Linked DNA regions of Ovis aries. The protein of the gene in region 3 purifies or fractionates together with the protein of the main gene of each other region. This does not show direct contact. Links are inferred from orthologs where the notes say so. Each region holds a gene or a part of one and is shown on either strand. Other genes may lie near its edges.

Region 1 (6,958 bases), on a different chromosome or scaffold from region 3:
ACGACATGGAGCCCAGCACAGTGCCTGGGACTCCCCCACCTAAGAAGGTAGGGGCGAGAGGCGGAAGGGCTTCCCTGGTGGCTCCGATGGAAAGACTCTGTCAGCCACGTGGGAGACCTGGGTTCACTCCCTGGGTGGGGAAGATCCCCTGGAGGAGGGCATGGCAACCCACTCCAGGATTCTGGCCTGGAGAATCCCCATGGACAAAGAGAAGCCTGGTGGGCTACAGTCCATGCGGTTGCAAAGTCAGACACCACAAGCGACTAAGCAGGAGGCAGAGGCTGGGATGAGAGGCGGAGGGCGGGAGCAGCCTCCAAACTCACCAGGCTTCCTCTGTTCTCTCGCCAGTTCCGCTCGCTGTTCTTTGGCTCCATCCTGGCCCCTGCACACTCTCCCCAGGGCCCCAGCCCTGTGCTGGCTGAGGACAGTGAGGGCGAAGGCTAAGCCGAGCCAAGAAGGGGCCCGATGAAGCCCCACCCCACCCCTCTCCCAAGGCCAGCCACGGCAGGTCCGCTCTCCTCCTTGGTGGGTGGTAGAGATGCGCCCTGCTGGAGCTTAGCTGACTGGTCCCACCACCTCCCCCAGGGCCTTGACTGGCCTGGGTCTTGTTGTTTCCCTTCAACCCTCAAATCTTTCATTCAACCCTCAATCTATCATGTCTGTTCCCAGTCTCGGTGCTGAGCTGCCCTCTGCAGGGAGTTCCCTCACCTCTTAATCCAGTTCTGTGGCCAGAACTGGAGGACTGCCTTCTCTAAGCCCACCTCCCTAAGAAACAAAGAAATCATTGTAGGGCTTCTGCCCCTGCTGATCCACCTTCTGCCAATCATGACCTGTCCCTCCCTCAAATCCTGAGCACACCACTGGGATCCCCTGTGACTGGCACACACTGCTTGCTTTCCCTGAACTCTCTGGCCCTGGCTTGGAAATTCCAAGAGCCCCTGCGGACCTGGGCACGTGGCTGGGGTTTTCCTGGCTGGGGCCCGAAGCCCAGCAAGCCTCCCAAGTGGCTCTGGGCGGAAGAGTTGCCAGGCCCAGTGTTTGGGACAAGGGAGACAGGCTATGGCAAGAATCCAGCTTTGACCTTTATTCAAGAGACCAGATGGGTTGCCCCAGGATCCGGCTGCCAGCCCTGAGGCCAAGCAAGGCTGGAGATCCCCAATCTGGCCCTGCTTTGCCCTGAGCTGCAGCCTTAGCCCCAGGATCCTGCCTGCAGCCGCTGTAGGTACAAGCGGGAAGACCCCTGGGGGACTGGATGCTGCTATTGATTCATAAAAAAAAAAGAGAAAAATACACCAAGCCTCCATGTTCCCCGTGATGGGTGGGCCTGGGGGGCCAGCACGAGCCCCCTGTAGCCACATGATTTCTGTACAATCCACCATCTGGGGCAGAGGGCGGGCACACGGAGGCTATTTCTTGGCTTTGGCGGAGTTGCGGGGTGGGGTGATGGGCCGGCCTCCAGGGTTCAGGCCACTGAACTGCCCATATTTCCCCTTGTTCTTGTCGGCGGGCTTGAGGATCTAGAAGAGAAAAACTGGTCAGGCTTAAGGGGTCAAGCCGTAAGTCCCTGGGCCTGCCTGCCCCCGGCCCGACCCCCACCTGGAAGGAGCACATGAGCGTCTCGTCCACGCTCATCATGGCACCTGCATTGTCAAACTCGCCGCAGTAGTTGGGGGCTGAGAAGAGTGTCACCAGCTGCCGCTTGGCAAAGAACTCGTAGCCGTCTTCTACTACCTGGACGAGGGTGGAGGCGGTTAGTTCAGCAGGAGCTGGCTGCCAGCCCTGCTCTAACCCAGATGGGGGCTGCCAGCCCACCTGGTGTGCCCGGCAGATGAGGTCCAGGTCATGCTTGTGCAGGAACTTGGCCACCACCTCAGCTCCAAAGGTAAAGGAGACGCCGCGGTCATTCTCGCCCCAGCCCTGCACGTCCTTGTCAGGGTCAGACCACAGCAGGTCACAGAGCAGGCCCTGGTCAGGCACATCTGTGGGCCGCATGATGCGCCGGATCTGCTCCATGGACTGTAGGTCTGGGGACAGGCCTGGAGGGCACAGGGGGCAGGTCACCTCCTCCAGGCAGCCTTTGCCAATCAGCCTCTGCCCCCCACCTCTCCAGGATTCCTGGGAGCCTACAAAGGCAGAACTCATCACCTTCTGCCTCTTCCAAGTCCCTGTCCCTTCAAGGAGCACAGAGCTCCCTGGAGAAAGTGTTTTCGCTCAGTCGTGTCCGACTCTTTGCAACCCCATGGACTGTCCAGGCAAGAAAGCTGGAGCGAGTAGCCATTCCTTTCTTCAGGGGATCGTCCCAACCCAGGGATCAAACCTGGGTCTCCCGCATTGCAGGCAGATTCTTTACCATCTGAGCCACTAGGGAAGCCCTGGAGAAAGGGGACAAGCAAACTCCATGCAAGAAGGCGAGGCCATGACACAACAGTGGGTGCAGCCTAATGCTGCAGTGCGGGGGCACGTCATGGAAGAAGTACTACCCATACCAGGACTCCAGGGAGAGCTGTTCCTGGCGACTGGGAACACATCTTCCAGCCGACGCTTCTGTCCCAAGGTCCCCAGGGGTGCTCACCCTGGGAGGCTCATCCTGCTCAAGAATTCACATGCCCAGAGCTGTGCTCACCTCCATGGCAACAGAAGATCTTCTCGTCCACGATGGCAGCGATGGGCAGGCAGTTGAAGCAATCAGTGAAGGTCTTCCACAGTTTGATGTTGTAGCGTCTCTTGCCTGCCCAGGGGGAAGGAGACAGCTCACCAGAGGGCCTCTGCTCCACCCTCAGCCCAGGTCTCCAGGCCTTCCAGGACACATTGTGTGTTGTTCAGACACAGCTAGGAGGAGAGAATGGAAGGCAAAAAAGGAAACCGAACCCCCGCCCCCTACCCCTACTACCCCACTGCCTCCCAGACAGAATTCTAAAGCAGCCAAGTCCACGGGAACCCCAGAGTTCCACTTCTGGCACGACCTCAAGGTTGGCATCCACCCCCAGCACAAGAGCAGGGCCAGGTCGAGACAGGGTCTGGTTCATCTTGGCTTCTGTCTAACAGAGTCCAGTCCCAACAGGCATCCTAAGTGCTTAAGTATCGGATGCGCTGGAGGGGAGTGTCAGCAGGTGAGGCCCTGCCTTAGAATCCTGGCAGCCCTTCAGCCAGCAGCCACTGGCTAGGTCCCTCCTGAGTGCCAGGATCTGCTCTAGGAGGGTCGGGGAGGGTGGCATGGGCTGGTGCTACCTTCACGGCACTCAGCTTAGCAGGTGTTTGTCAGACGCTGACACCCCAGCCACCAGGTCAACACGAGGGTCGCACTGAATGGCAAGGAGAGCCCTTTAGGACCAGGGCAGCCCAGATGCTCTGCCCACTCACACTCATCATAGAAGCCGTAGATGCGGTTGATACTGGCACACTCGTGGTTCCCACGGAGCAGGAAGAAGTTCTCCGGGTACTTGATCTTATAGGCCAGCAGCAGGCAGATGGTCTCCAAAGACTGCTTGCCCCTGTCCACGTAGTCCCCCAGGAACAGGTAGTTACTTTCTGGAGGGAAGCCGCCGTACTCAAACAGCCGCAGAAGGTCATAGTACTGGCCGTGAATGTCACCTGTGACCCAGGGAACCAGGTCAGCACTAGGGCAGCCTAAACGTGAACCCAGGGTCAGGGTTGGGCCCAAGGGAGGAGAAACTTGGGAGGGGTGGGGGGCAAGGCCGCTTTCAGGAGGCCACGGGGACCTGGGCTGGGGGCTCACCGCAGATCTTGAGGGGTGCCTCCAGCTCCAGAAGAATGGGCTGGCTCAGGAAAATCTCCCGGGATTTGAGGCACAGACCACGGATCTCGTTCTCCGTCAGCTGTACATTCTTTCCAGGCCTGGAGCCCTGCACTGGGGGCGGAAAGAGGCGTCAGGACCCTGGTTCCTCAGGCAAGAAGAGGGTGAATGTCACTGGTGGCCCCAAAGGCACTTCTGGGTAGGGGCTCCTGGGCCTCCCGGCCCCGCCTTGCCCAGGGGCAGCTGTTGCTGCTGAGCCTCCTGGGACCCCCAACTGCCCTCAAGGCGCTCGCGAGGGGACTGCTGTGCGCAGAGGCCATCCAAAACCTCAGCACAGGACCCCTTCCTGGGGGACTAGGCTTCTCAGGTTTCTCCCTCAGCCAAGAGCCCAGGCCAATCCTTGCGCGCCCACCCCCGCCACCGCCAACCCCGGTTCTGCTCTGGCAAGGGGAGCAACCCCAGACCTCCCAGCGCGCCACGACTGGGGTGGGGTGGGGGCACGATGTGGCCACGGGACCTCGCGGCCCGTCCCCGCCCAGTCAAAGCTGGCCCTGGGAGGGGCAGGTCCACCCGCGCGCCACTTCCGGGCCGGGCAGGGGACCAGGGCGCGGCGGGCGCCCACCTCCCTCGCCTCCCCGGCCAACCTTCCAGCAGGCGTCCGATTATAGAGTCCAGGTTGAGCTTCTCGCTGTCGGACATGGCGGCGCCGCCGCTCTGGCCCAGCACCTCCGGGCCCTATCCTGCCTCCCGCCCTCCCGCGGCCTCCTTCCGGCCTGGTGCTCCTTCCGCCCGCCCGGGCCCGCCCCGGCCCGCCGCCCCGCCTCCTCTGCCGGCAGCCCCGCCCCGCCGCACCCGGCCCCGCCCCGGCCCGCCCGGTCGCCCGCCGCCCCTGCGCTCTAGCGCCTCCACTGGACGCCAGGCCCGGGGCCCGCGGCGGCTCGGGAGGCGGGGCTCGGGCTGACCTGGTTGCGGGGGCGGAGCCTACACTGGGGGCGGGGCTTCACGGGGCGAGGTCGACTCTAGTTCCGCCCTTGAGGAGTTACCCACCCTTGCACCGAGGATGTGCGGCCGGAAGTAGTGTGGAGTTGTTTTTCTCTTTCAAGGGCCCAATAGTCCTTCCCATTTCTGTCCCGGGCTAGAAGGTGGTGTGACCTCATTGATATCTCATTGGGTCTCCCCAGAGAGTGCAGATTAAATCCACGAAGTGCAGGAAAGGAAACAGGTTCAAAGATAGCAAGGGTTGGCTTCAGACTGACGGAGGAGCTCTCACCTCTAGGGTCCCTGTGGCCTGCGGGCGGCTGACCATACCCAGACACCTGTCGCTGAACGCCGAGCTCATTTTGGTCCCCCTGCCCGTGGCGCATGCTACACCATTACTACTATTTTTTAATGTCTCGTCGTTGTGTTTTGAGTAGCGCAGTAATGACTTACTGTTTGACTTGTCGAAAGCGTTAACAAAAGAAGTCACGTTAAATAAAGTGTAATACTCACTGGAACCCTGAATTGAGTGTTTTATTTGCCTGTGACCTCACATCTGGAGGCAGCGTGGCCTCTCTACCTCTGGCAGGCCCTGGCTGCATCACACCCAGCACAAGAACCCAGGCCTGCACCCACCTAGCCCACCGGGGTGGTGGGAGGAGCCCATGGCCCAGGGCTACTGGGGCAGGCCGGAAGAGCCCTGGAGAGGAAGGGGTAACCCCCCCCACCACGCACTTGGGAGGGGCCCTCAGCGGGTTGCTGAAGCTGTGGCTGAGGAGGAAGTGAGAGGAGGAGGTGAGGTGCAGCAGGGAGGTAAGCTGGGCCCCTTGGGACAGGGGCTGGGCCTGGGTCTCCGGTAGGGGGCCTGGCCTTTCTGCCCCTCTGGGCCTGTGCCCCACCCCCACCCCACAAGAGGAGAGGGTACCAGAGGGGTATGGTGCGATGCCCTGCAACCTGTCCTCTTTGACCAGGCGGGCAGGTCCTGGGGCTGAGGCCTGGCTGCAGAGGCGCCCCGGCCCCGGCTGGCCGGGAGCCCCTGCTCACACTGGCTGTGCCCACATCTTGCAGCCTGCCGCACGGGGGGTCGGTGGCGCCATGGCCCAGGCCCTGGGCGAGGACCTGGCGCAGCCCAGTGAGCTGCAGGATGACTCCAGCTCCTTGGGGTCCGACTCAGAGCTGAGCGGGCCCGGCCCGTATCGCCAGGCTGACCGCTACGGCTTCATTGGGGGCAGCGCAGCAGAGCCAGGGTAAGTGGAGAAGGGATGAGGGGGGTACGGGGTGCTGGGCCTAATGCTGGAGGCTGAGAGCTGAATTCTAGAGTGAGGCCCAACCTCGAAGGTCCTGGAAGGGTCTGGGGACTCAGCTAGCATCACCTGTTCTCAGGTTCTAGATGGAATCTTAAGATTAGCAGGGCTATGGGGAGTGAGTACCTGTGTGTCTCTTCCTCCCAGTCTCTGAGGGTTCCCAGAGGGGCTGAACCTGCTTCTCCGTTCAATCTGGCCCAGGAATCCCAAGATCATAGAACCCACACTTCTTCCCCTACCAGTCCCCCCCTTCCCCAGGTGCTGACAGGAAGACGAGATCCGAGATAGATAGGGAGGTCATACCGCCATCAGAGGCAGAATCAGGCTCAGAGAAGACTCCTGGTTTCTAGCTCTTGGGCTCTGTCTACTCAACTTCCCCGAAGAGTTGTCTGTGTCCCCGTCCCGGGGGACAGTCTACCAGCCCCTCCCCCAACACACACCTACACACCCTCTTCAGTATCTCCTGCTTCCGCCCACATCAGAGCCACATCCTTTCCTGTCCCCATGACAACCACTGGCAACTCCTGGGTGACAGGTCACTCCCCACCCCAGAGATTCCCAGAGATCTCCAGGGCCAAGGGTTGGGCTCACCCAGGTGGTGGGAAAGGCCGAGGATGTGGCCATCCTATGTCTGGACATTTGTGCCGTGTGCCCCCAGGCCGGGTCACCCTCCTGCAGACCTCATCCGCCAGCGGGAGATGAAGTGGGTGGAGATGACTTCACACTGGGAGAAAACCATGTCTCGGCGGTACAAGAAGGTGCGGGGAGAGTGGCCCCACACGGGCCCCCTTGGCTTGCCCCCCCTTTACCTGGCAAAATTCAGCCTCCTGTGTCCCAGCACCTCCTGGCTTCACTCCCTGCTCCTCGCCGAGACTCTTGCCCGATGGCAGATTGTGCCTGAGGCCAGCTGAGAGCGGCAGGG
Region 2 (7,143 bases), on a different chromosome or scaffold from region 3:
GGTCCACTGGTTAGGAAACTGCCTGCTAAGGCAGGGGACACGGGTTCCATCCCTGTTCTGGGTACTAAGGTCCCACGTGCCAAGAGGCAACTGAGCCCACGCACCACACCTACTGAGCCCGACACCGAAGCCGACATACCCTAGAGCTGGTGCTCTGCAAGAGAGGCCTCGCCTGGGCCCTGCAATCAGAAAGCAGCTTCTAGTAGCCACAACTAGACAAAGCCCGCAGGCAGCAACAAAGACCTACGGTAGACCAAAATAAATAAATAAGGCACCTGGGCAGCCTCTGATCTCAGCCTTTCCCAGACCTCTTTCTTTTGGTAAAAGTGAAGTCGCTCAGTCGTGTCCAACTCTTTGCGACCCCATGGACTGCAGCCTACCAGGCTCCTCTGTCCATGGGATTTTTCCAGGCAATAGTACTGGAGTGGGTTGTCATTTCCTTCTCCAGAGGATCTTCCCAACCCAGGGATCAAACCAGCTCAATTTCTGTCTAATTTACTTAACACTAGAATGGTTTAATATTTGAAAGAGCATACATACTCTCACCACGGGTTTCAATGGCATCTAGGCCCTGTCCCAGCCACCATGCAAAGTCATGTTTATTCCAGATACACATTCCAGACACTAACAAGGCTCAGGCCGAAGCACTGGCATCATCCTCGATGTTCCTCCTCCTCTCATCCCACACCAGCAAATCCTGTAAGCTCCACCTTCACAGTATGCCAAGCATCTGGGCACTCCCGCTGCCACCTCCAGCTCCTGCCCACCTTAGAGCAGCAGCCTCCTAACTGGCCTCCCTCCTTCCACCTTGAACCCACAGCTAGCGATCACATCACTCCTCCCCCTTAACAGTCTCCCCATATCGCCAGAAATAAAAGCCAACGCTGTTTCCATCCCGTGCGAGGCCCTAAACAACCCCTCCCTGACCCTCTTCCTTTCAGACCTCATCTTCCACAGGCCTCCCCCTCTTCCCCAACCCCCCTCTGGGTCTCTGTCACTGCTCCCCTGGCCCCCATAACCCCACAGTGCCCTCCTTCACCTCTTTCAAGTTTTTGCTTAGACTCTGCCTCATGGCCGAGGCTTTCCCTACCCACCCAGTTAAAACCACAATACCCCCCCAGCCAGTTCCTTCTTCACAGCACGTATCACGACGCGACAGTTTACAGCTTCGTGTTTACCATCCACCCCTACTGCCACTCAGTGGTAAACCAGTCGAAGGCAGAGATTTTCATCTAGTGTGTCCCTTGTGGTACCCCCAGGACAGCAATGAGAGGTCAAATTGCCAACATTCATTGGATAATAGAGAAAGCAAGGGAATTCCAGAAAAACATCTACTACTGGTTTATTAACTATGTTAAAGCCTTTGATTGTGTGGATCGCAACAAACTGTGGAAAATTCTTAGTGACGGAAATACCAGACCACCTTACCTGTCTCCTGAAAAGCCTGTATGCAGAACAAGATGCAACAGTTAGAACCTCAAAAGGAACAACTGACTCGTTCAAAACTGGGAAAGGAGTACGTCAAGGCTGTATATTGTCACTCTGTTTATTTAACTTCTATGCAGAGTACATCATACAAAATGCCAGGCTGGATGAATCACAAGTTGGAATCAAGACTGCAGGCAGAAATAGTTCAGCTTCAGATATGCAGATGATACCACTCTAATGGCAGAAAGTGAAAAGGAACTAACGACCTTCTTTCTTTATGAGGGTGAAAGAGCGAAAAAGTTGGCTTAAAACTCAATATTCAAAAACAGATCACGGCATCTTGTCCCAACACTTCCTGGCAAATACAAGGTGAAAAAGTGGAAGCAGTGAGATTTTCTTTTCTTGGGCTCCAAAATCACCACAAATGGTGACTGCAGCCATGAAATTCAAAGACCCTTGCTCCTTGGAAGGAAAGTTATCATTCCCCCATTCAAAACTCTTCAACTGTCACATAGGATAAAATCCAAATTCCTTTCCATGGCCCCAAGGTCCCATATGATCTTGCTGGGCCTCCAACAAGCTAAGCCCCAGCCAGTCTCAGGAACTTTGCACATCATCTATTTTCCTCAGGTCTTTTCAAAAAAGGCTGGCTCCTTTTCACTAGATATCACCCATCCCACTTCCTCCAGGAACAGACAAGTTTCCCTGACCAGTCACCTTAAAGGCCCCCACCCCTCACCCGTTCCAGTCACTACCAAATCCCTGTTTTATTTCTTTCATGGTTCTTATTATAACTTGGAATTACCTAGTTGGTCTATTTGCTTATGTGTTGTCTGTCTTCTGCACTAGAATGTATGCTCCATGAGCACCCTCTGTGCTTCAACCATAAAACAGAGATGATTTAATTTACTTTGTGGAGTTGATACGGGCATTATTATCTTTTTAAAAATTCATGCTGTTCTCCCAATATCTAGAACAGTGAAGTAAACACTTAATATAGTACAAAGACTGAGTAAATCAGTGCATGAGATCAGGCAGTGACAGACCCTTTACCCAGTGATCCTAATTCAGCCCCATCCAGAGACTGGTGGCCTTACAGTTCGGGCCTCCTGGACACTTGAGGACAGGGGTGTGGTCTGCACTTCCAGGCCACCACCTCAAGGCAGCAGTGACCACCTTGACCTCAAGAGGGTTTCCTGTGACCACAAAGATACTCTATGGCAGCGGCTCCAAGCACTGGGCACAGAAAACATCCCCACCAGGGGACTGTTCAACAAAGGAAAGGGGACAAGGTAAATCTAAGGGAGGGTCCAGAGCAGAGAAGATGCCTGAAGGCCACAGCTGGGTCACCCAGGAGTCTAACCTGTAGGCCAATCAGAAAAACAGAGGCCAACGGAAAAACAGTCTCCAGCTACTGGAAGGAGAGAGACAACACAAAACTGAATTAAGGGGTAAGGGGCCCAGGGTAAACAGTCTCAAAGTCTGGATTCTTATTGGCTGTGTGCCCCTTCGACAAGGCATCTCCCCTTTTTGAGTCACTTCAGTTTCCACCTCAATGCAAGGAGAGAGGTGGCCTAGAGGCAAAAAGAATTAATTCTTAACTCATAAGACCCTCCCTTCTCTAAGGACTTAATATATTCATCCTCATGTAATCTGTCCAATAGCTCTCTAAGTAAGGATGTATTGATACCATCCCCAATTAACAGAAGAGGAAACTCAAGTTCAGAGAGTAACTTACCCAAGGTCACAGTGCCAGAGAAAGGCAGAGCTAAGCCACAAACCTGGGTCTAGCTGATGTCAAATAGCCTTATTCTCATTCTTAACGACTATGCTGCGAGCTCCCTTAGTGGAAGGCAGGATGGTGTAGTGGGTAAAAGCCTAGACTCTAGAGTGAAACTGCACAGGTTCAAATCCCAGGTCTGCCCTCTGGTACCTCTACCCCGTCTAGCATCGTTTGATCTTCACTATTTTCACCCCAAAAATGGGTATTAACAAAAGTACCAACCTCAGAAAACTGTGAAGATTAAGTAAAGTAGAAACGTAATCCCTGGGAAGGTTTGTTACTTACTCGGCACAATGTTTTCTTCCAATATAAAAGGGCAGGAGACAGAGCCACGAAACAAACACTACAACCTGGCGCTTCTCCCGTCTTACCCTATATTTAGCTCTCATCACAGCCCTAGGAGGCGGGGGAATCCTCTTACCCCCAATTCACAGATGAAGAAAACCGTGACAACTGCTTTAAGCTCTCCTTTTTCTGCCCTCCAATGATTCTAAAGCTAACACAACAAAATGACTTTTTTTATTTACTGGTTTACTTGACGTGCTTACTGACACCTCGTCTGATCAAATCTTCAGGGCCGGCCCCATCGGCCGCACGTCGCTGGCTCCCAATTAGCACTGAAGGGTGGCTGGAATAAATGAATGGAGAATTCCAGGCCTAGCCGGACTCGAGCTGATCCGGTTCGGCGGCGAGGAGGGGGCCCCGGACACCCTCCCCCTGCCCATCGGGGCGGGCCGCCTGCCCCGCGCCACACTGTCCAATGGGTTTCGCCTCCCTCGCGGGTGGTCAGGCCCCCTTCTCACGCCCACCACACAGCCACTGCCACGAGCCGCCACGCCGGCAGGACACCGGCTGCCTTCGGACAGGTGCTCCCACAGGAGGCCGGCCTGAGCCGGGTGGGGCAAAGCGGCGGGACCCTGAGTCACCGCCGGTAGCCTCGGCCTTGGCGTCACCGACTGCCACGGCGAGGCGAGGTCGGAGCCTGTGGCCGGCCCGGGTCTCCTGGGGCAGGCTGCCCGTCCTTCCCGCGGGAGTCCTAAGAGGCCCCCGGCCCCTGGGCACCGCGCGGCGCGGGCCTCCCGGCCTACTCAGCAGCCCCGCCCAAGCCCACCTCGTGAGTACGGCCCGGCTCCAGCACGGGTGGGTACTGCCAAGACGGCACTCACCTCTCCGCGGGGCCCGCACGCGGGCGCAGCAACGGCCCAGGTACCCGCGGGCTGCAGAAGCGGCAGTGGCCAGACTCTCCTCTCAGGCAGCGGCCATGTTGCCGGTGGAGAAACTCGGGCGGACACGTGGGGGGAGCGAGAGGGGCGGGCCCTAGCGCTTCCTTTTACCCACAATGCCCCGCCCCGGCGCGCGCGGACCCGCCCCCTCCGCCGCTCCATTCATACGGGCGGCCAGCCCTGGCCTGGCAGCAGGGGGCGCTGACGCAGTAGCAAAACAGCTGGTGAGGAGGTAGCAAGGGGCAAAAAGCTCACTCTGGCAGCGGTGGGATTCGAACCCACGCCCCCGAAGAGACTGGAGCCTTAATCCAGCGCCTTAGACCGCTCGGCCACGCTACCCAGTTGTGAGTGGGGCCTTCCAGAAAGCTATTTAATGCATTTACATGCAAGTACACTTAATTTCTGATTGTTTGCTATATGTTTTACTTCATCCCTATAGAACTATTTTAGAAAGTATTGGCTACTAAAAATAAAATATTTTCTCCAGTAATTAGACCCACACTTCTTCCGAACAGATCTTAGAACAGTTTAAGAATCTGTTTTCTGAGTAGGACGTTTAACACGTTAAGCAGGTTAACCCACACGGGAATAAACGATGGATTTCGGCAGTAACCCGCACCAGGGCTTCCGAAAGCCAAACCCGTGGACTGGTGTAGGCAGTTTTCTCTAAAATTATGTGTTTTAATTTTTAGTTACACAGATAATATGTGAATTATTGCAAAATATGAAAACTTTGTAGATAAGGTACTAATGTTCTTTTACCTTCGGTCTCTAAGTCCCTTCCTCAGAGGTAACCGTTATACAGCTTAGTACACTGCGTTTCCTTCTGGACCTTCTATTGTGAATTTATGTGAATATATATGGATATATTCACGTGGATAGATATATCCATAGAAATAGGTAGTTTGTTTTTATTGTTATGGATTTTACATAAATATAAATATTAATCATACTAGTAGTATTTATTGCTTTTGAACTGTGGTGTTGGAGAAGACTCTTGAGAGTCCCTTGGACTGCAAGGAGATCCAACCAGTCCATTCGGGAGGAGATCAGCCCTGGGCTTTCTTTGGAGGGAATGATGCTGAGGCTGAAACTCCAGTACTTCCGCCACCTCATGCGAAGAGTTGACTCATTGGAAAAGACTCTGATGCTGGGAGGGATTGGGGGCAGGAGGAGAAGGGGGGACGAGGATGAGATGGCTGGATGGCATCACTGACTCGATGGACGTGATCTGAGTGAACTCTGGGAGATGGTGATGGACAGGGAGGCCTGGCGTGCTGCGATTCATGGGGTCGCAAAGAATCGGACACGACTGAGCGACTGAACTGAACTGAACTGAACTGAGTATTTATTGCAACTGACTTTTTTCACCTATTTTTTTCTAGTATCTATCCATATTGATATATATGTAGATATTTTAAAATATAGAAAAAATGCAAAAAAAAATCATCCATATTCCCACTACATAATATCGTGGCATTTTACTTCCAGTTCTTATGTATATGCTTTTCATTAAAAGTGTGAATGTGATCATTTTAAAAATCCATTAAAAATATATAGTGTGATCTTGCTTTTTATTTACATAATCCTTACTACATTGTACCAATATTATTCTGCAACTTGCTTTTCTACTCCAATATTACACTTTTTATTTATTGTGATATATATGGATCTAATTTATTCCATGCTATGAAGATGGACATTTAAGTGGTTTATATTAAGTCGTTATATTCAAGTTTCTGGTTAATATCCAGTTGGCACACACCCTGATATTTGGGCATTCCATATTCCTCTGTCTCTTCAATTCCTCCTTAATGCCTGTTTCTTTCTCCATCTACCTTTAAAATAAGTGTTGACATACAAAGATTTTCATTGTACTGGGAGAGTTTGTTACTTTTAAAGCAAACTTTAATAAATACAGAAGAAGCCATCTATCTCGGCCACGCATTGTGAGAGGATCAAAACCAAGTGAGGAATAGTCCTTGCAATCAATAGAAACATTGACCTGCTCATGGTGTTTCAGTACCATGAGGAACTGTATTTGTTTGTGAGTTATGTGCTGGATTTTCCAAAAGGAAATACCCCTATGATAAAGAATAATTGCTGGATTCGTAGCAGCAGCTGCCTAATTCTACTTTTCTAGTAATTGCCTGACCAGCCCAGAGAGTGGGTCTCTGGCGGTCACCTTCCCCCCAACGTGGCCAGTGGGCTCTATGGTAAACACAGGACAGAGGTCAGACCAATCATGAGACATGGTGAGTTCCTGATTTGTTATTTTGACTGTACTAAGTGCTGGGGTCAGTCTCTGAGACCGACTGACTGAACTAGGAGTTGGGGTGGCCAGATTCTGTGAGATGGACTGGAGAAGAAGAGAAAGCCAGTGAATGGAAAAATAATGATAAAATGAGAGGAAGAGTAGAGAGTCACAGAGATTCTGATGGTTTTGCGGCTCCCAGCTTAAGACTTTTCCAGGGCCCAGTGGCATTTACATTCTTGCAGACATCCCTTTATCATTGTAGTAAATTCCTCTTTTCTGCTAAAGCTAGGGTTATCTGTTAACTTTAACAAATGAGCCCCCCTCCCCCTAGTATGGAAAGGGCTCAAACAGAGGTAAAGATATTTCTGCCAGAACACTCTGCAGCAATTCATGTCTGTCCCTACCAATATTTACTAAACAAGATGCCCAACAGGAATGCCAGCTGATCCAGG
Region 3 (7,057 bases):
GGGGACACAGCGAGGGGAGGCCAGAGGATGCCGGGCCACCCTGAGGTGTCCTGGCCCCTCCAGAGGCACCGTCAGCTGGGATCCAGGGCCAGGGGTTGGCATCCAGGAGAGGCTGCAGGGACTCTCAGCCCAGGAAAGGCAGATCCTAGGCCCAAGGCGAAGCACCCTAGGATCCAGGGGGAGCAGAGGCAAGGTTCCCAAGGCAACCAGCTCCCACACTCCTGGCCGGGAGCAGCGGGGGTGGGGTGGGGAGAGGGGGTGGTCACAACAGTCTCTCTGTCCCCCAGGGGACATGCTGGCAGAGAAACGGGCAGTTAGTCGTGTGATCTGTGACTGTTCGTCACAGAAGCTGGGTACAACCAGGCCGGAACTGGGGCTGCCTGCAGAGAGGGAAGTGGTGCGGTGCGCTCACAAGAGTGGGATGAGTACCACTGCCTGGGCCCTCGATGCCAGCTGTCTGTCCACAGGCAGCTACTGTACCAGCCGGTAGGTGATATACCTGCCCGCAGTCTCGCTCGGCCGGATGATCTTCACCACCTAGAGGCAGGAAGCAGAGCTGGAGTGGTGCAGGAGCAGCAGCCTGGGTTCCCTCCGCCCTGCCCAGAAGCCCTGGCTCTAGTTCCACCCTGGGAGGGCTTCTTACCTGTCCGCGCTTTATCCCAAAGTAGCGCGCCACAGGGTCTCCTGCCTGGATCCTGGGCAGCTGGTTCTCTCGGAGTTTACTGGGTAGCAGGTCAGGGAAAAGGCCTCACTGGACTGACTGGGGGTCTGGGATTGGGGTGAAAGGCAGGGTGGGGAGAGGAGCTGGGCCCAGTCAGGGGCCAGAAAGGATACTACCGGGCCAGCAGCTCCGTTACCTCTTCCTTGGTCATGACCACATGCTCCGGGACCAGCTGTGAGAAGAGAACCCGGGCTCCATGGGACTACAGACCCCGGAGCCCCCAGGGGAGGGGTACAGCTCAGGCTCCAAGCGTCTGAGCCAGTCCTAACTCCACACTGGGAGGGAGGGGGTGCGTGTCTGGAGCCTACACCCCCACCCTGCAGATGGGCCACAGGGCACAATCCTGGGAGCCAGGGCTGCAGGGAAGATAGAAACTGCACCCCGCCCCCCAACTCCTGACTGAAGGCTGGATCGCCCTACCTTCTTTCCACACTAGGGGGCCCCCGGACGTCTGCTGTTCCTAAAAAGGTGAGGGGCTGGGGGCTGGGTCTCCAGTCTCATCCCACCCGAGCCCCCGCACCCCTACCTCGTGCTCTGTGATGTTGATAAGCAGCTCCTGCTGCAGAAACTGCTCCAAGATGTACTTGGGTGCCATGTCAACCAGGGACTGGAAGAGACGTCAACCCTCAAGTGCAGCAGGGGCAGCCGCCCGCCCCTCTGTGGCCCCGAGGCCTGCCCCAACCCAGCTCCTCCTCGTGGGCAGCTAGCACCCTGGAAGTGGAGCAGGGTTTACCTTTGTGGCTCAGAAAGACATCGCGCATCATAAATTGGGAAACCCCACCCAACTCCGCCCAGGCTCTCAGCAGTAATAAGGCCTTCATCTCACATCAAGAAAGGTAAGTACCTGTCAGGATGCTCCCAGGGTGGCTGGGAGCTAGTGTGGCAGCCGGTCCCCGGGCCTGGGGACAGAGGTGCTGGCCAGGCTCCATCCCACCCTGGCGGGGCAGGCTTACCTGCTTGGCAGAGGGCGTCATGCCCTGCTGCACCACAATGAGGGCACGTGTGATGTTCTCCTCCTGCATGCGCTGACAGTACACCTTGATGGTCTTGATGCCCACCTTGGGCTCCTCTGCAGGCAGAGCACAGGCTGATCAGTGCTGCAGGGCCCCTTCCCATCGGGCACCCAGGTTCTAGCCTGGCTCTGCCAAGGCACTGCGGTGCCACTCCCACTCTTGGGCCTCAGCCTCCCCGTGTGCAAAGCAAGAACTGGGCAGCTGGTTCCCAGAATGGGGGAGCTGGCTGCCTCCAGGTCACATGGGAGCTGACAAGTGCCCTGGGTGCCCTGGACCTCAGGGACCTCTTCTGGAAGTGGGGTCTGGGAGTCTGGGCTTGGCCAGGGCTCAGTGGCTCTGAGGTTTGGGAAGCCCTGGATTTGGTTTAGTCTTGGAGTTCATGAGACAAGGGCTGGGGTTCTCAGAGGTAAGCTGAGGTGAGCTGACCCAGAGAGTATGGTCCTGCCAGACACAGACCACCCATCTCCATGCCGTAGCACTGGGGGTCCTCATGGTCTTGGCAGCATGCAGGGCCTGCCACAGAACAGCCGGACCCTAGGAGCCCAGCAGGTCAGCACCTAGGGCAGCCCCAGGGTCTGTGTGCAGTATGTCCGCCCCTTCCAGCTGCTCTCACTTCCCATTCCACTAACCCACTCTGCCCTCAAAGTCCCTCTGTTGGGGTCCTGGCCCTGGAATCTCAGAATGAAACTGTATTTGGAAATGTGATCTTTAGGCCCAGAGAGAATGGATGGGTGATCGAGAAGAGGGAAGCTGGAGAAGGGGTTCCCAGAGCAAGGAGGGCAGGGGACAGAAGGATAAGGGTGGGTGCATGACTCTGGGGCGCACAGCAGGTGGCTGCTGTGAGCTGGCCCTGAGCAGCCCTCACCTGGGAAGAAGACGAACATCTGGTCAGTAGGGTCGTCGTTGTGGGCCACCAGCACCGTGAGGTCCGTGCGCCTTGGCCGCCCTTCACTGGGCTTGTCCCCAAACTGGGCCTTGAACTCCTCCAGAGTCTGGTCCAGCTCGTCCTGGGTCACCAGGTAACCACGGTCATGGCACAGCTGCAGAGAGAAAGGGCAGGTGATCGATCGCACAGTGGAGATAGGACAGCAGCCAGAGCTCCGGTGGCCTCACCCACCGCAGAGGAGACTGGGGAAAGGCCTGGGATGCAAGCGGAGATGTTGAGTCCAGAGTCAGGCCCCAGGGCGTAGGTCTGACAGGTACAGCAGGCTGGGCGGGTGTTGGCTGTGAAACCAGGCAAAAGCCTGAGGCCCAGCAGTTCAAGGTCCTGCTCAGAAACTAGGGCTCTGTGAGCACACAGACTAGGTGAGGACCCAGACAAAGGAAGGTTGGAGCTGCCACCCAGCCCTGCCCACATCCCCCACCCCCCGCCGAGTCTCCATTCAGAGACCTGGGTCTCCTCTCCCGCAGCCCCGACACCATCAGGTAGAAGCGCAGCTGCTCCCGCCCTGTCTTGAGTAGCTCTGCCAAGTGTTGAAGAGGCTGGGTCATAGCCCAGCCTTAGCTCCAGCACAATTCCCAGGAGGCTGGGTGCTCTTGATCAAGGCCCCAAGTCTTTGTGGCATCACACTGGACCCCTCTCACATGGTGGCTTAAAGCATGTGGTACACAGAAAAAGCTGGTGTGACTGCTGTGACACTGAGACTGAGTTGGTGGGCAAGGCATCTAAGTAACCACCAGACAGCAGTCAGACCAGCCCACCAGGGTTCCTTCCACCGTCAAGAACCCGGGATTCTGCGTTATGCACTTACGGTGGTGCTGATAAGACAGGCTGGGAGCTGGGACCCTTTGCGGCAGCGCCTGCACTTGGACAAACATCTTCTCCAGCAACAGAATACCCAGAAACCATGCGGGACTAAAAATAACCGTGCAATTGCCCAGCTCGAGCAAATGATAGACAACAACAGAAAGTCAAAACCTCCACTTCTGAGGTGCCGGAGCAAAAGCTGGGTGCCAGGCCTGATCCCTGCACACAGCACCACCCAGAGGGTAGGCAGACCACCCGAATCATCACTCTGGCATGACCCCTGGACCCGCGCCCACCCTCATCCCATTATCCCATTCAAGACGACCTAAGAAGGGCGCCTGTTGCTTGTTTTCGCTCCCTCCTGCTGCAGCATAAGCTCCAACAAAGCCTTGCCTGACCTTCTAGTCTGGCCTGTTATCAATTCTTACTGATTAAGAACTTCAAGGATCAGGGGCTGTAACACCACAACCCTCCAGAAACACAAATACAAGGCGGCCCAGCGTCTCCCGCCTTCCCTCTCTCCAGCTCGAGCGAGATCCTGACCCCCTTCTCTGGGGGCTCTGGGGCTCGACTCCTCCGCTCCAGCCGCGCCGCCGCGGGTGAAGAGGCTCGTCCTCATCAACGGGCCCTAGCACCCGCCGTTCACGCCTCGGCCGCCACGTGCCCAGTTCGTCTGGCGCAGCCAGGCACGCCCTCACCGCGTTCTCCAAGGAGGGCTGCCTCCGCGCGGCTCACCTGCATGATGGTCTTGCGGATCTTCCACAGCCGGTATGTCTCCTCCTCATCGTCCATGATTCCCGCCGCTCTCACACACTGCGCCTGCGACCAGCACGACCAGGGCCCACAGTGCCTACTCCGAGTCCTGATCAGGCCCCCAACACGTCGTCTACCCGTGCAGGGCTGTCGCAGGCGAACGCCTGAATACAGCGACCTTCGGGAGCGGCACTGCCAAGGGCAGCCCTAGCCTTCCTAAAGCGGCGGTTGGTTGCGCGAGCAGCTTTCAAACAGCACCGCCCACCCGCCCCTCGGAAGTTCTCGCGATGCTTTGACGGCACGGCTTCTCGGGAGTGGTGGTTTTTGCTCAACGTCAGTCTGGACAGTGTTTAGAATCTGGAGAGATTGAGGAAGTGTGAGCGGAGCCTCGGTTTTCCGTTTTGTATAATGAAAAGAATAAAGTGTCCCCCATTTTAGAGGATCTAAAGAGATGCTCGTACTTGGGAGGAGCTTGGTATAGTTCCTGGTGCTTACAAAATGCAGCTGAGCCCCAGCCCAGCCCCTGCCTGGATACCCCAAGAGTGCACAACCTCTGCATCGGCCCTTCCCCTCCGAGTTCGTTCAGGAGGTTTGTTCAGGCCTGCTCAGCCCAGCTTACTTGTGTCAGTAACTTCTCATTCAGTAATATATTAATTCAATGATTCAGTATTTAATGAGGAGCCAAAGAGACGGGGAACAAAACAGACCAAGCATCCTTACATGCCAGGGAGAGACAGGACAGAAACAGCGGACATAAGTAAATGATACAGCGTGTTAGAAGGAGACAGTGCTGTGGAAGAAAAAATAGAGAAGTCTCAAATGTGGTCATGGAAGGTTCCAACAAAAATCCAAAGGGTGAGAGGGTAGAAGCCCTGGGGATGTCGAGGAAAGTGTATCAGGTAGAGGGTACAGCATGTGCAAAGGCCCTGAGGCCTAGCATGTTGGCAGCAAGGAGGCCTGTGGGTCAGAGGGTCAGGTGGGGCAGATCTTGGGAGCCCTTGCTGGTTGGGTTTGAGAAGTTTGTGCTTGCAGCCATTTTCAGCATCTCCACAGGGCAGAAACAGGGAGACCAAGGAGTGGGCTAGGGAGGACCGTCCCGGCCAGAGATAGATGAGGCCTCAAGTGAAGGATGAGCTGTGGGCAGGTCTAGGGTGTCCAGAAGGCAGCGCTCATAGGATCTGTAGGTGGACAGGATGTGGAAAGACACAGAGACAAGCAGAGGAGGAAGAACAGACCTCGGTGGGGAGGCATAGAAGGCAGATCTGGAGCAGATCTTGGATATGGTGAGCTTGGGACTCCTGGGGGACCCTACGGGGAGCATCCAGGGGACAGTAGGGCACAAGCCTGGAACTCAGGATGAGCTTGGAGTGGAGGCTGATGTGGATGTTGTGGGCGCACAGTGCAGACTGGAGTTGAGAGGCTGATGAGGTCACAGAGCGCATCAGAAGTCAGGCCTGAGCCCTGAAGCTGGGAGGAGGGGAGGAAACGGCAGAAGGCAAAGAGATGTGGTTACCTGGGCTCCAGTGCTGGCTGTGCGACCTGGGCACATTACTTAACCTCTCTGTGCCTCAATGTCCCCCTCCTCCTTTGTAGAACAGGGGCAAGAACAGAACCCACTGCATATGTACTTGGCTGAAGATTGCAGGGCGATACCCAAGTGTTCCTGAAACAGAATAAAGGGTGGGTAGAAACCTGGTATCCTGGAGTCAGGTGAAGGAGGTATCTGGAGGAGGTGGGTGGAGTAGCTGTCAAAGCAGGTCTGCAGACTGAGAAGGGGACTGGCCCAGGGGCCACTGTTTGTGACCACAGAGGGCAGATCCAGGGAGGAGGCCTTTCTTTATGGGAGGAAAGAAATTGGAGATGTGGATGAAGGGGGAGAAAGAGAGGCGTTCTAGAGTGGGTTTTATTTATTTTATTTTTGGCTGCATTGGGTATTAGCTGCTGAGCACAGGCTTTCTCTAGTTGTGGCGAGTGGAGGCTACTCTCTAGTTGTGGTGCACAAACTTCTCATTTCGGTGGCTTCTCTTGTTGCAGAGCACGGGCTTTAGGGTGCCTGACTCAGTAGTTGTGACGCACAGGCTTAGTTGCCCTCCAGCGTGTTAGATCTTCCTGGACCAGGGATTGAACCATTTCTCCTGCATTGGCGGGTGGATTCTTAACCACTGAGCCACCAGGGATGCCCTAGAGTGAGTTTTAAGACAGGAGAAAGAGTGTCTAGGTGATGGGCAAATCTGAGTGGGAGAGGGGGCAGAACTGCTGGAGGTTCCCAAGGGCAGCCTGGAGTTTACCCGGGGAAGGCCCAGGTGTGGGTGGCAGGGGATGTTAGGTGACCTTGCTGTTCCTTGGGGCAGGGAAGAGGGGAGAATGGACTCACAGGAGCAGGTGGGCCCCATCCCATCGCCCATGAATCAGAATTCTGCCTGTGACTGTGTGACCTCAGCAATGGGACATGGAGTTGCAACTTTCTCCTGGGAACCCGCCACCATGCAGCTCTGCCAATTGGCAGAGCCCAGGGGTCAGAAATCAGGCCACCCCCCCATACACACACACTCCTGGCTGGGGATGTGAAATCCAGCAGCAGCTGTGGGGAAGCCTGGCAGCTCCTTTTAACACCTAAAGTGACCGTGTGAGCCAGCAATTCCACTCCTGGGTACATGCCCAGGAGAAATGAAAACATACGCCTATGCAAAAAGTCTTGTACAGCATCACAAAGCCAAATGGTACAATAGCACAATACTCATTAATGGATACATGGGTAAACACAATATAGTCCATTCATTTCATAGGATATTACTCAGCCATGAAAAGCAGCACTGACACACA

Evidence for each region. Proteins that work in one complex are often made in the same cells at the same time.
Region 1: the proteins of POLR2E (region 3) and PPP1CA purify together in Homo sapiens (affinity purification with mass spectrometry; 5 studies listed by BioGRID and IntAct, counting the BioPlex papers as one, with this or other methods). This does not show direct contact. The link is inferred for Ovis aries from reciprocal best matches to the Homo sapiens genes POLR2E and PPP1CA.
Region 2: the proteins of POLR2E (region 3) and POLR3E purify together in Homo sapiens (affinity purification with mass spectrometry; 5 studies listed by BioGRID and IntAct, counting the BioPlex papers as one, with this or other methods). This does not show direct contact. The link is inferred for Ovis aries from reciprocal best matches to the Homo sapiens genes POLR2E and POLR3E.

Annotation. Positions count from the first base shown.
Region 1 is NC_056074.1:41,698,152-41,705,109, forward strand, and holds PPP1CA (serine/threonine-protein phosphatase PP1-alpha catalytic subunit), read right to left. Parts: upstream 4,504-6,958; 5' UTR 4,454-4,503; coding exon 4,399-4,453; intron 3,869-4,398; coding exon 3,737-3,868; intron 3,592-3,736; coding exon 3,361-3,591; intron 2,729-3,360; coding exon 2,624-2,728; intron 2,037-2,623; coding exon 1,813-2,036; intron 1,732-1,812; coding exon 1,597-1,731; intron 1,518-1,596; coding exon 1,407-1,517; 3' UTR 1,070-1,406; downstream 1-1,069. Other genes in the region: cell cycle checkpoint control protein RAD9A, read left to right, coding at 1-47, 349-444; TBC1D10C (carabin), read left to right, coding at 5,675-5,979, 6,695-6,794. UniProt on the Homo sapiens protein: Protein phosphatase that associates with over 200 regulatory proteins to form highly specific holoenzymes which dephosphorylate hundreds of biological targets.
Region 2 is NC_056077.1:20,516,420-20,523,562, reverse strand, and holds the start of POLR3E (DNA-directed RNA polymerase III subunit RPC5), read right to left. Parts: upstream 4,504-7,143; 5' UTR 4,378-4,503; intron 1-4,377. UniProt on the Homo sapiens protein: DNA-dependent RNA polymerase catalyzes the transcription of DNA into RNA using the four ribonucleoside triphosphates as substrates.
Region 3 is NC_056058.1:41,256,167-41,263,223, forward strand, and holds the start of POLR2E (DNA-directed RNA polymerases I, II, and III subunit RPABC1), read right to left. Parts: upstream 4,339-7,057; 5' UTR 4,274-4,338; coding exon 4,217-4,273; intron 2,775-4,216; coding exon 2,600-2,774; intron 1,791-2,599; coding exon 1,675-1,790; intron 1,329-1,674; coding exon 1,248-1,328; intron 924-1,247; coding exon 835-923; intron 723-834; coding exon 644-722; intron 538-643; coding exon 472-537; 3' UTR 1-471. UniProt on the Homo sapiens protein: DNA-dependent RNA polymerase catalyzes the transcription of DNA into RNA using the four ribonucleoside triphosphates as substrates.